Danio rerio: one gene and its partners. The protein of the gene in region 2 interacts with the protein of the main gene of each other region in a pairwise test. Links are inferred from orthologs where the notes say so. Each region holds a gene or a part of one and is shown on either strand. Other genes may lie near its edges.

Region 1 (3,658 bases), on a different chromosome or scaffold from region 2:
CAACTTTTCCAGCATATGTTTTACACAGCGGATGCCCTTCCAACTGCAACTCATCACTGGGAAACATCCATAGACACTCATTCACACACATGCACTGTCCTATTGAATTTATCCAGTTCACCTACAGCTCATCTGTATTTGGACTTTTGGGGGAAACCTGAACACCCGGAGGAAACGCACGCCAACATGGGGAGAACATGCAAACTCCACACAGAAATGCCAACTAACCTAGTTGAGGCTAGAACCAGTGATCTTGTTACTGTGTGGCAATCGTGCTACCCACTGCGCCACCATGATGCCTGTTCTTTTTCATTTTAAGCAAAAACAACAATACATACAGCGGGGATAATAGGTATTGAACACGTCATGTTTTTTCCTGTGAATAATATTTCTAAAGGAGCTGTTGACATGGAATTGAAGCAGATTTTGGAAAAAAAACAAACAAACAAATCTGAAAAATTAGCTACGTGTAATAACTATGGAACGATACAAGGAGAAAGTACTGAACTACTGAAATGTATTTAATTAAAGGTACTTTGCTGGGGTGTGTTTTGGATCATTGTCTTGCTGAAATGTCCACCCTGGTTTCATCTTCATCCTCCTGCTAATGAAGATGTTGGACTGAAGCAGCTGATATTCATTTACACTCAGGAAGGGCAGCGGGTTGCTGAAGAACTACTGAGATATTCGGTTGCTGTCTGGGCTTTCACTGCTCAACCACACCTCCCTTTCTTCATGTGTTCAATACTTTTTACCGGCATCATTTCTTTTTATTACACATATTTTCATTTGTAAATTAATTAGATTTGTTTTCTTTGCATATATGGATTTTTTGGTTGCTATCAACATCTGGGGAAAATTTCAAGTCAACAGCACCTTTGGAAATATGTTTTCTGAGAAAGAACATGGCCAATACTTATTTTCTTTGCTGTATATTGAAGTTTGGGTCCCACTTTATATTAAGTGACCTTAACTAATATGTACTTACATAGGATTTAATAGTTTGTTACAATGTACTTATTGTGTAAATACATGTATTCTTATGGTTGATTGAATACATGTATGTAATAACTTTTGTAATTACATTTGTAAATTCACTGTTGACCATCCCTTACACCTCAACACACCTTTACACCTACCCAAACCACCAAACCTGTCCATAACCCAACCTCTATCTCAAGTCAAAAGCACCACAAGTGTTCTGAAATACATTTTAAACACAGTAAGTACATTGTATTAATTTTTTTTATGTAAGTGCATTGTAGTTAGGGACACTTAATATAAAGTGGGACTGAAGTTTTTTTTTTTCATTGCACATTTATTTACTTGTTTGTCCTACTCTGCTGAGCTTCTCTAATTGTGCTTAAGACAAAACTTGTTTAAACTACTTAAAAAAATGTTTCTATTCTAGTAAGTTCAAGGTGTTTTTCTTCACACCAATTGTGATGAGTTTTTGCACCTGAATAGAAACATTCTGATGTCAAATTTGGTGTGTATTTAGCCAAAATAAAAACAGAGGATTTTATACAGCAAATATTGCCTTCCAGTTTCCTGTTCATGGTTAAAATGTAGAACAATAGTATATGTGCACATTTAAAACAAATCTATCCCTATTAAATGATTCTTTGGCAAGCAGAATAAAACATAAGCATTTAATGTATTAGAGAAAAGATGCATTCTTTTGGAAGAGGCGGTGACTGTTTGTCGTATTTATTTTCAGACAAAGGTGTTGTGTTCGGCATGCCCCTCACAGAAGAAGGAATAGCCCAGATATATCAGCTCATCGCTTACCTCAGCAAAAGTAAGTGCATGATATTAATAAAGTTGATGGCTTTATTATACAGTTCACCCAAAAAATGTACATTCTGTCCTCATTTACTCCTCCATTTGTTCAAAACTCCTTTGAGTTTTCTTATGTTGAACACAAAAGATGTAAAAAAAAATTGTGGGTTGCTGTTTCCCCTACCTTATGAGTTGTTGAACTCTTCCAAATATCTTCTTCTGTGTTTAATAGAAGAAAGAAAATTCAAACAGGTTAAAAATTAGTCAAGAATAAGTAAATGAATGGGTGAACTATTGCTTAAAATACACTAAAACATTGGAAGATTGACAAGTATTTGAATCTTTATGGTAAGGACACTGTTAAGAGGTGCTTGAACAGGTTGTTTTCCTGTAGATCTCCATGTGCAGGGTCTGTTTCGAGTTCCTGGGAACAGTCTGAGGCAGCAGACGCTGAGGGAGCAGCTCAACAGTGGAGCCGATATTGATTTCGCCGCTGGTGACTTTCATCCCAATGACGTGGCCACGCTCCTCAAGAGTTTCTTGGGAGAATTGCCGGAGCCCCTGCTGACCCACCGCCACCTGCACGCCCACCTGAAGATCACAGGTTCATCATCCACACTTCATGCTGTGCCTTCTACATCATTAGCTGCATTTCTGTTCCTCTTGCATTAGATAAAACTTACAGTGATCTCTGCTGAGACCATGTTCACATGTACATGGGTGTTAAAAAAAAGAAAGATAATCTCCATCAGGCCCGTATTGGCTAATCGGGAGAACCGGGAAAGTTCCCGGTGGGCCGGTCCGTTTTTTGGCCGCGAGGGCCAGTGTCCCTAGCTGCTTGCACTCTCAGCAGTTGCACTTTTTTAATTTATTTGTTTATTTGACCATAACCTCACTCTTTTTAATCATTATTTTGCCGCAGCTCCGCTCTTTTTATTTATTTTCTCGCAGCCCCGTGAGCTAAATGCAGCCCGCAGGTTAATGATGATCATCATTAACCTGCGGGCTGCACCCCATTCCACCCCAAACAGCGGCACCTTAGTGAATATTAATGAATATTACACCTGCTTAATGAAAATCAGATGATTTACTACATTAATAAATCTAACTTTTAATCTTAACATAACTTGATCAGAAATCTAAAATGGGGAAAAAAGAGCAGGGTAAAAACGGAGTAGACATCAATAGGAGCAGATAACATTCAGTGTTTAACAGTGCCATCGTGGTCTAGTGGTTAGCACGTTACGCATTGACGCAGCCGACCCGAGTTCGAACCTCACCAGAGTAAAATATGTTTTTTTTTCAGTGTTAAGACATAAAATACTGTTTGGGTTACTTATGTAGGAATACATTTTTTTTTTGTGTGACGACTGTTACAAAGGATTGGATATCTATATAGAATTAATGTTCTCATATTTATGAAAAACATTTGAAATTCTAAAGCAGCTGTGTCCTTGAAAAAGACATGTTAGTGTCATTTGAAACTGAATTGGAAATGACGTAATTTTAATATTGTCAGTCGTCGACTGAGGTTGACCGGTCTAAGGCTTGAAACTCCAGAGCTAAAAAGGAGTCCTACTCCGGCCCTGATCTCCATCCACATGAAAATGCAGAAATTCATTGTGATGCATTCACTGGGGGGTAATATGGTATACAGTGGGGTCTTCAAATAGCAAAGGGATCAGTTTTGATACCATTATACTGAAAACAATGCACTTATATAAGAGACAAGGATCAAATAGAATTTATTTAATACCTAAAAATGGGTAGCCGTGGTTGTCATCAAAGAATAACGCGGAGGAGAAGGATAGAGCTAGGGAAAGATGGCGAGTCATGCACCAAGTGACCTGGTCTTGAAAAAAGAACACAACTTCTG
Region 2 (4,131 bases):
TCCTCTGCAGTGTGTGTGGTTTCAGACGCGTGCGGTGCTGACATCCTGACAACATACACACATACATATATACACACACACACACACACACACACAATCAGCTGCAGTGCTCAATTATGGAGACTCCAGTGTGTGTGTGTGTGTGTGTGTGTGTGTGTGTGTGTGTGTGTGTGTGTGTGTGTGTGTGTGTGTGTGTACCTCTGCGTCTCCTCCTCTCCGATCAGCTTGGGCCGCTGCTGCTGCTCCACCCTCATGATGCGCAGGATCTGATCCGCTTCACACTCCGGCAGATTCCCCCGAATCACAAATATAGAGTAACCTGCAGGAGGACAAGAGCAGCGCTGAAGCGGACACACACACACACACACACACACACACACACACACACACACACACACACACGATAATGAGTGTTACCCTCCTGCTGCAGCTGTGCGAGGAACAGGGCCAGGTATGTGTCTGAGATCAGCTCCGGACCCGTCAGCAGAGAGTTCAGGTTAAACCACTGACACACACACAAACACACAGAGAGAGAAAGAAAGAGTCAACAAACACACACCTTTCTGACCCTGAACACACACACACACACACACACACACACCTGCTGTCCCAGCTTGCGCACGGTGAACCAGTGCTCCTTATAGTTGCAGATGAAGGCCTTCTCATGCCTGAAAGACAGCAGAGGAGGATGAGTGTGTGCAGAGGAGACACACACACACACACACACACACACACATAGAGGATACAGCGCTCACACACTCACATGGGGTCCATCTGCAGCTGCTGGTACTCTCTGCTGTTGAAGAGGACGATCTCCAGACCCCACACACCCAGAGCATTGCTGATCACCTGCACACACACACACACACACACACACACACACACACACAAACACACACAGGTCTCTATAAACATTTAATTCATGTGTTCATCATCATCATCATCATCGTTTGTTTTCCACGTATTCCAGTGTTGGTTTCTGCAGCACATGTCAGAGTGAGCCGTGTCAGTGAAGCGTTCAGCAGTGTGTGCTGCTGCTGCTGCTGCTGTTCCTCTTCACCACACTGGTAAGCTGTTTATGCACTAAAGACAAACCAGTCTTAATGTGGGCAACAGTACGGGCTCTTCATGCCACACATTCTCTATTGGAGACAGGTCGGGGCTGCAGGCAGGCCAGTCCAGTGTCTGTCTCCTCTTCCTCCGCAGCAGGACTCTGTAATGCGGGTCCAGAATCTCTCTGTGCTGTTCAGCATTACTGGAGCATCACAGAAGAGCAGGTCACCTCTGCCCAGAGCACCGACACAACCCCAGACCATGACAGAGCCGGCCTGCTGCTGGTGTCAGTCTGGATGATCCTCTTCTTCTGTGGTCTGGAGCACACGGCGTCCATTTCTCCCAGAAACACCTGAAACTCTGCTTCATCTGAGCACAGGACACGTCTCCACTGTGTGATGCTCCATCCCAGACGCCCAGAGCCTAGAGAAGCGCTGCTGGACACTGTTAACATAGGGCTTCCTCCAGACTCCTTCAGTCTTTAATGCTGTTCTGCACTGCTGAAGGTGAAATCTCCACATGTCTTCCTCTGAGGATCATTGTGTTCACACACTTCACTCATATTCTCTCATATCTGTGCTCAAACTGGAGATCCTCGACTCATCTCTGCTCCTAAAGCACTAGAGCTTTCCTGATGAGCAGATCACCATCACCATCACCTGTGGACATCACATCATCATCCAGCAGATCACCTGATCACCGCCCTGTTTCTGCAGTCTGAATGACAGCAGAGGGTTCGTGTTTTCCGTCTGTCCCAGCAGCTTTGTCTGATTTGTTGTTGTAGTGTTTGTGAGGAGTAACGGGTAACTATGACTGACCTGGATGGAGAAGAAGCCGCTGTCGTCCATGTTCCCTGACGGCTGCTGCACACACAGAACACAGCAGGTTACACTGAGACCCTGAGCTCTGTGTGTGAGTGTGTGTGTGTGTGTGTGTGTGTGTGAGTGTGTACCTGCAGGAATGTGCGGTACTCCTCCGTCTGCACTCCTCCCTCCGCCATGCGCATGCGCTCCTCCTCGTCCAGCTGCTGTGCTATAGAGGAGAGCTCCACCGGGCTGAAGTACTCGCCCTGCAGCAGGTTATTCAGGCAGTGCTGCGCGCACAGAGAGCCCTCCTGCTGTAACACACACACACATACACACAGTAAACACACAACAACATCAACATCATCATCATCATCATCATCATCATCCTCCTGCTGTAACACACACACACACCATGATCATCATCATCATCATCATCATGCTGCACAGAGTACTCCTACTGTAACACACACACACACACACACACAAAATCTGTTTCACACATACACTACACACTCTTTGTCAACAAACATAAACACACACTTTCTTGCTCTCTTACACACACACTCTCACTCAGACTCTACATTTCTTTCTTTGTTTCACTCACTCACAAACTCTTTCACAACACACACACACACACACACACACACACACACACACACACACACACACCACACACACACACACACACACACACACCACACACACACATATCATCCTCGTCGTGTAAACTCTGCTCATGTCGTGTTTCCTTCAGCTCAGACACACTCTCCAGCACTCCCTCAGTCTACAGGCTCAGTGTCCTCCTCTACAGCGCTGTGTGGCGGAGTGCAGCAGTGAAGAGGAGCCGCTCTGGCGGTAAACACACATGTGCTGGACTGTCTGTCTGCCCGTGTCGGATGTTGACACTCGATAAAAGTCCACGAGCGCCTCAGAGATATCAAGCCGGAGCAGCAGACTGAACTCGACAGATCTGCCCTCCTGCAGGAGAAGCTCTCCCAGATCATCTACACATCACTCATACACAGCATTATCTGAAAGCGATTCTTACTTTTTCGTGGAATATAGACTCCATGTTTGAAAGTGTGTGAATGACGGAACTGACGGAAACAGCGACGCGTCAAAACATGTCAGAATAAGAGTCACCTAAAAACAAGCGCTCTTTGAATAAAAACTGCGGCAAGGCTGCGTTTAAAATCGACAGATTAAGATCTCCGATACACTATCAATTGAATTACACGTTTAGTCGATATAAATAATTTAGCAGGACATTTACTGATGTTACTTTCTAACCGTTCTGCTTGTCACGTGACGAATCAAAACATCAGGAACGCCGCCCAGTGGCGCGCTGCGCTACACCTCATGTGGACAGATCCTGATTAAACGCAGAACTTATTTGTTTTAAATGAGGTAATTCGATTATTTAATGTTTTTTAAAGTATTCACACTTTTGAGAACTTTGAAAATATTCACTTCAAGACACAAATGACTTTTTACTGATGTCTAGTAGATTTGTGTAAGCACAAACATCAAACAGACATCTCAGTGATGTGTGTGTGTGTCATCTGCTCAGTGATGTGTGTGTGTCATCTGCTCAGCTGCATTCACGCCAGTTTCTCTGCTCAACACATTATAGGAAGCTTGAAAACGGCTACTGTGAACCCCAACACACGCGTGTTAATGTGAATGAGGGAGTGTTTAAAGATGGAGCCTGAGCCTGGAAACACATGCAGACCCGTGAGGCAGAGAGAAACATCTTAAAATAAAACAGATCCTGCAGCAGTGGAGTCTGTCAGACATCTGCCACAGCGCTCAACACGTGTAGTCAATCAGTCAATCAGTCATCCAGAAGCAGAAATCTGGAGCGTCTGAAGGGGTTCTGGACACTGCATTGATCCGAACCACACAGAGGACAGTTTATGTCCACAGAGAGAGGGGCTCTCGATGTCTTGATCCAACACAACACTTCAGAACCATTTCAGTTCATTTCTACACTGCAAAAATGATCTTCTTAGAGTTTTTAATCTTGTTTCTGGTCCAAATATCTAAAGATTTCTAAAAGATCAGACCTCCAAGGCATTCGAGGAGGAGGATAAAAGTTTAAAAGCCTTTATTACCATTGAAATACTGACTTTCACAAGTGCGCTGCACAATCCTGCTGTTTTACAGCAATAGTCATCTCAATAGAGGCTTTTTCACTTATATTTCAGGTGCGCTGGACTGGTGATTTTAATATGCTGTGCTGGTCTAGAGAATGCTTCTTTCTTAAAGAATT
Region 3 (2,537 bases), on a different chromosome or scaffold from region 2:
ATTGTCTAACCATGCCGAGAACGGTTTATAATCATGCCATGCCATTCCTGGTTCAGTGTAGAAACAACTGTAACCGTACCGAACTGTTGTTAAAAGAGCAGCTATTGAAATTGATGACATGACATTGATTAAACTATGGACAAAGGCTGATTGTGACATCTTGATGAATCTCTCTGCTTTACTTAAATCTATGTTATCTGCAATATGTTCTTCCATTTGGAAAGATATTTCATTTACACCTCTACAGTTGCAGCTCTAAGTCGTGCTGGTATACATTTTTTTAAGGTATTAAAAAGGTAGTAAAAGGTATTCAATTCAACTTGAGAAATTCTGTGTAAATCCAGTATTGAACGGTTCTGTTCAGTGGTTCACATATACTTAAGCATGTGTTGATGAACAGAATAATAACCTCAGAGCGTAATATTGAGTGTGTGTGTGTGTGTGTGTGTGTGTTCAGGGTATCCCAGCGGAGGGTGAGGGCAGTGTTGTGGGTGCAGTGGATGCAGTGTCTCCCTCAGGGAGCACTCCAGCTTCAGCTCCAGCTCCTGCTATATCCACAGGTCTCTCCTCTCCGTCCAGCACAGCTCCAGCACAGCCCAGCTCAGCATCCGGAGGTCTGACACTCGCACACAGACCCCATAATACCAGCTCTGTCAGGGCTCACACAGTAGCCACTCAGTCTAATTGCATTACTGTTTGTGTGCGTGTGTGTGTGTGTGTGTGTGTGTGTGTGTGTGTGTGTAGCGAACCCTCTGGAGTTCCTGAGGAACCAGCCGCAGTTCCTGCAGATGAGGCAGATCATCCAGCAGAACCCGTCACTGCTCCCGGCTCTACTGCAGCAGATCGGCAGGGAAAACCCACAGCTCCTGCAGGTGCTCAATACATACTCACAGAGACACACATACTTACACTCGCACATACTCACTCATGCATGCATATATATATTTTTTTTTTTATTCCAGCTAGTGTGTGTGTATAATCATTAGCTTAGCTATGTCTTGACAGATCGTGAGGTCAGATCCTAATGAATGTGAAGTACACGTAATTAAGGTTTTCAATATGCGAGGTGTGCGATCTGTCCTCAGAAATGTGTTTCCTGTTTAACAGCAAATCAGCAGCCACCAGGAGCAGTTCATCCAGATGCTGAATGAGCCAGTGCAGGAGGCGGGACAAGGGGGTGGGGCAGGGGGTGTGGCTGAGGCTGGGGGTGGGCACATGAACTACATCCAAGTCACACCCCAGGAGAAAGAAGCTATTGAGCGGGTAAAACGACACTGACAGTCACAGTGCAGCATTTCTTATTCTTTATTATTCGCCCTCATTTTAATTAAGTATTAAAGATGTTTGAACACTCATCTGTATTTAATTTTACATGTTTACAACACAAAATTTAAAGCAAATTTAAAAATACTCAAAATGCTAAAGAGATGAGTTATTAGAAATTATTTAAAAAGGAAAATATAAATAAACAGTTTGTTAAAAGCATTGGTTAAATATATTTGAACTAAAATCAATATGTCTTCAGATGTATTTATTTAATTTATTTTACAAGAAACAACAAAGTTATAAAATACTCAAATACAAAAGAAGTTGGTCATTAGAAATTAATTATTAAAGTTTTGTAAAAATATTATTTTTACAAAGTAAAAGTAAATATTAGTTTTCTTTCAACATTTTTAATTGTTTAAAATACTAAAGTTTTCTTTGACTGTATTTAATTCACTTTTACAGCAAATTAAAAGCTACTAAAAATGTGTTTAATTGTTGATAAATCTCTTTTAAACAGCACCTTAAAAATATTAAACAATTAAATTAATTAAAATTTTGCCTTGGACTGTAATCAATATATTGATATTATTTAATAAGATAATATCTTTAACAAGAAACGGCAAAATAAAAAATACTCTCTAAATTAAAAATATTATATCGATTTTTTAAACTACTTTTAATAACTAATCTCTAAGTATTAAAATAATGTAATAATTTAGCCTTCTAACTATATTTAAACTATATTTAATTTAATTGTATTCATTTTTAAAACAAGAAAAGACTAACAAAAACATACTCAAAATACAGTTTTATGTTCAATTGAGACATTTATTGTTTATTATTATTGATTTAATAAAAACAAAAAACAAAAATACTCAAATAATACAAAATAAAATAATTACATTACAAAATAAAATATATAGTTGAACCTATTATAAAGATTTTGTTTAAACATTTATTAAAATAATTTACATTTTTTGCCTTCAGCTGTATTTAATTTAATTTTATTCATTTTTGCTACATGAAACCACAAAAAGAGACTCAAAAATACTAAAGTTATTGTTTAAAGTTAAAATATCTTAAATGTTACCTGAAATTAAATAATTAATTTATATTTTGCCTTTGTTGTTTAATATGTTTTACAACAAGATGCAGCAAACTAAAATACCCTCAAAAAACAGGTTAGTCATTGAAAATGATGAAATTAGAATTTTTTTACAACATTTTTAAACAATAACTAATTTCTAAAGTATTAAGAGTTTCATTTA

What was found.
Region 1: the proteins of atxn3 (region 2) and arhgap19 interact in binary tests that used the Homo sapiens proteins (3 or more experiments, as listed by UniProt). The link is inferred for Danio rerio from reciprocal best matches to the Homo sapiens genes ATXN3 and ARHGAP19.
Region 3: the proteins of atxn3 (region 2) and rad23b interact in a two-hybrid assay, tested with the Homo sapiens proteins (2 studies listed by BioGRID and IntAct). The link is inferred for Danio rerio from reciprocal best matches to the Homo sapiens genes ATXN3 and RAD23B.

What each region holds. Positions count from the first base shown.
Region 1 is NC_133197.1:36,976,263-36,979,920, reverse strand, and holds part of arhgap19 (rho GTPase-activating protein 19), read left to right. Parts: intron 1-1,720; coding exon 1,721-1,801; intron 1,802-2,176; coding exon 2,177-2,386; intron 2,387-3,658. UniProt on the Homo sapiens protein: GTPase activator for the Rho-type GTPases by converting them to an inactive GDP-bound state.
Region 2 is NC_133192.1:59,465,580-59,469,710, reverse strand, and holds the start of atxn3 (ataxin-3), read right to left. Parts: upstream 2,950-4,131; 5' UTR 2,932-2,949; coding exon of another isoform or gene 2,908-2,931; 5' UTR 2,598-2,907; coding exon 2,565-2,597; intron 2,171-2,564; coding exon 2,006-2,170; intron 1,917-2,005; coding exon 1,872-1,916; intron 850-1,871; coding exon 764-849; intron 669-763; coding exon 602-668; intron 506-601; coding exon 418-505; intron 320-417; coding exon 199-319; intron 46-198; coding exon 1-45. UniProt on the Homo sapiens protein: Deubiquitinating enzyme involved in protein homeostasis maintenance, transcription, cytoskeleton regulation, myogenesis and degradation of misfolded chaperone substrates.
Region 3 is NC_133196.1:575,865-578,401, reverse strand, and holds part of rad23b (UV excision repair protein RAD23 homolog B), read left to right. Parts: intron 1-457; coding exon 458-614; intron 615-744; coding exon 745-872; intron 873-1,107; coding exon 1,108-1,263; intron 1,264-2,537. UniProt on the Homo sapiens protein: Multiubiquitin chain receptor involved in modulation of proteasomal degradation. Binds to polyubiquitin chains.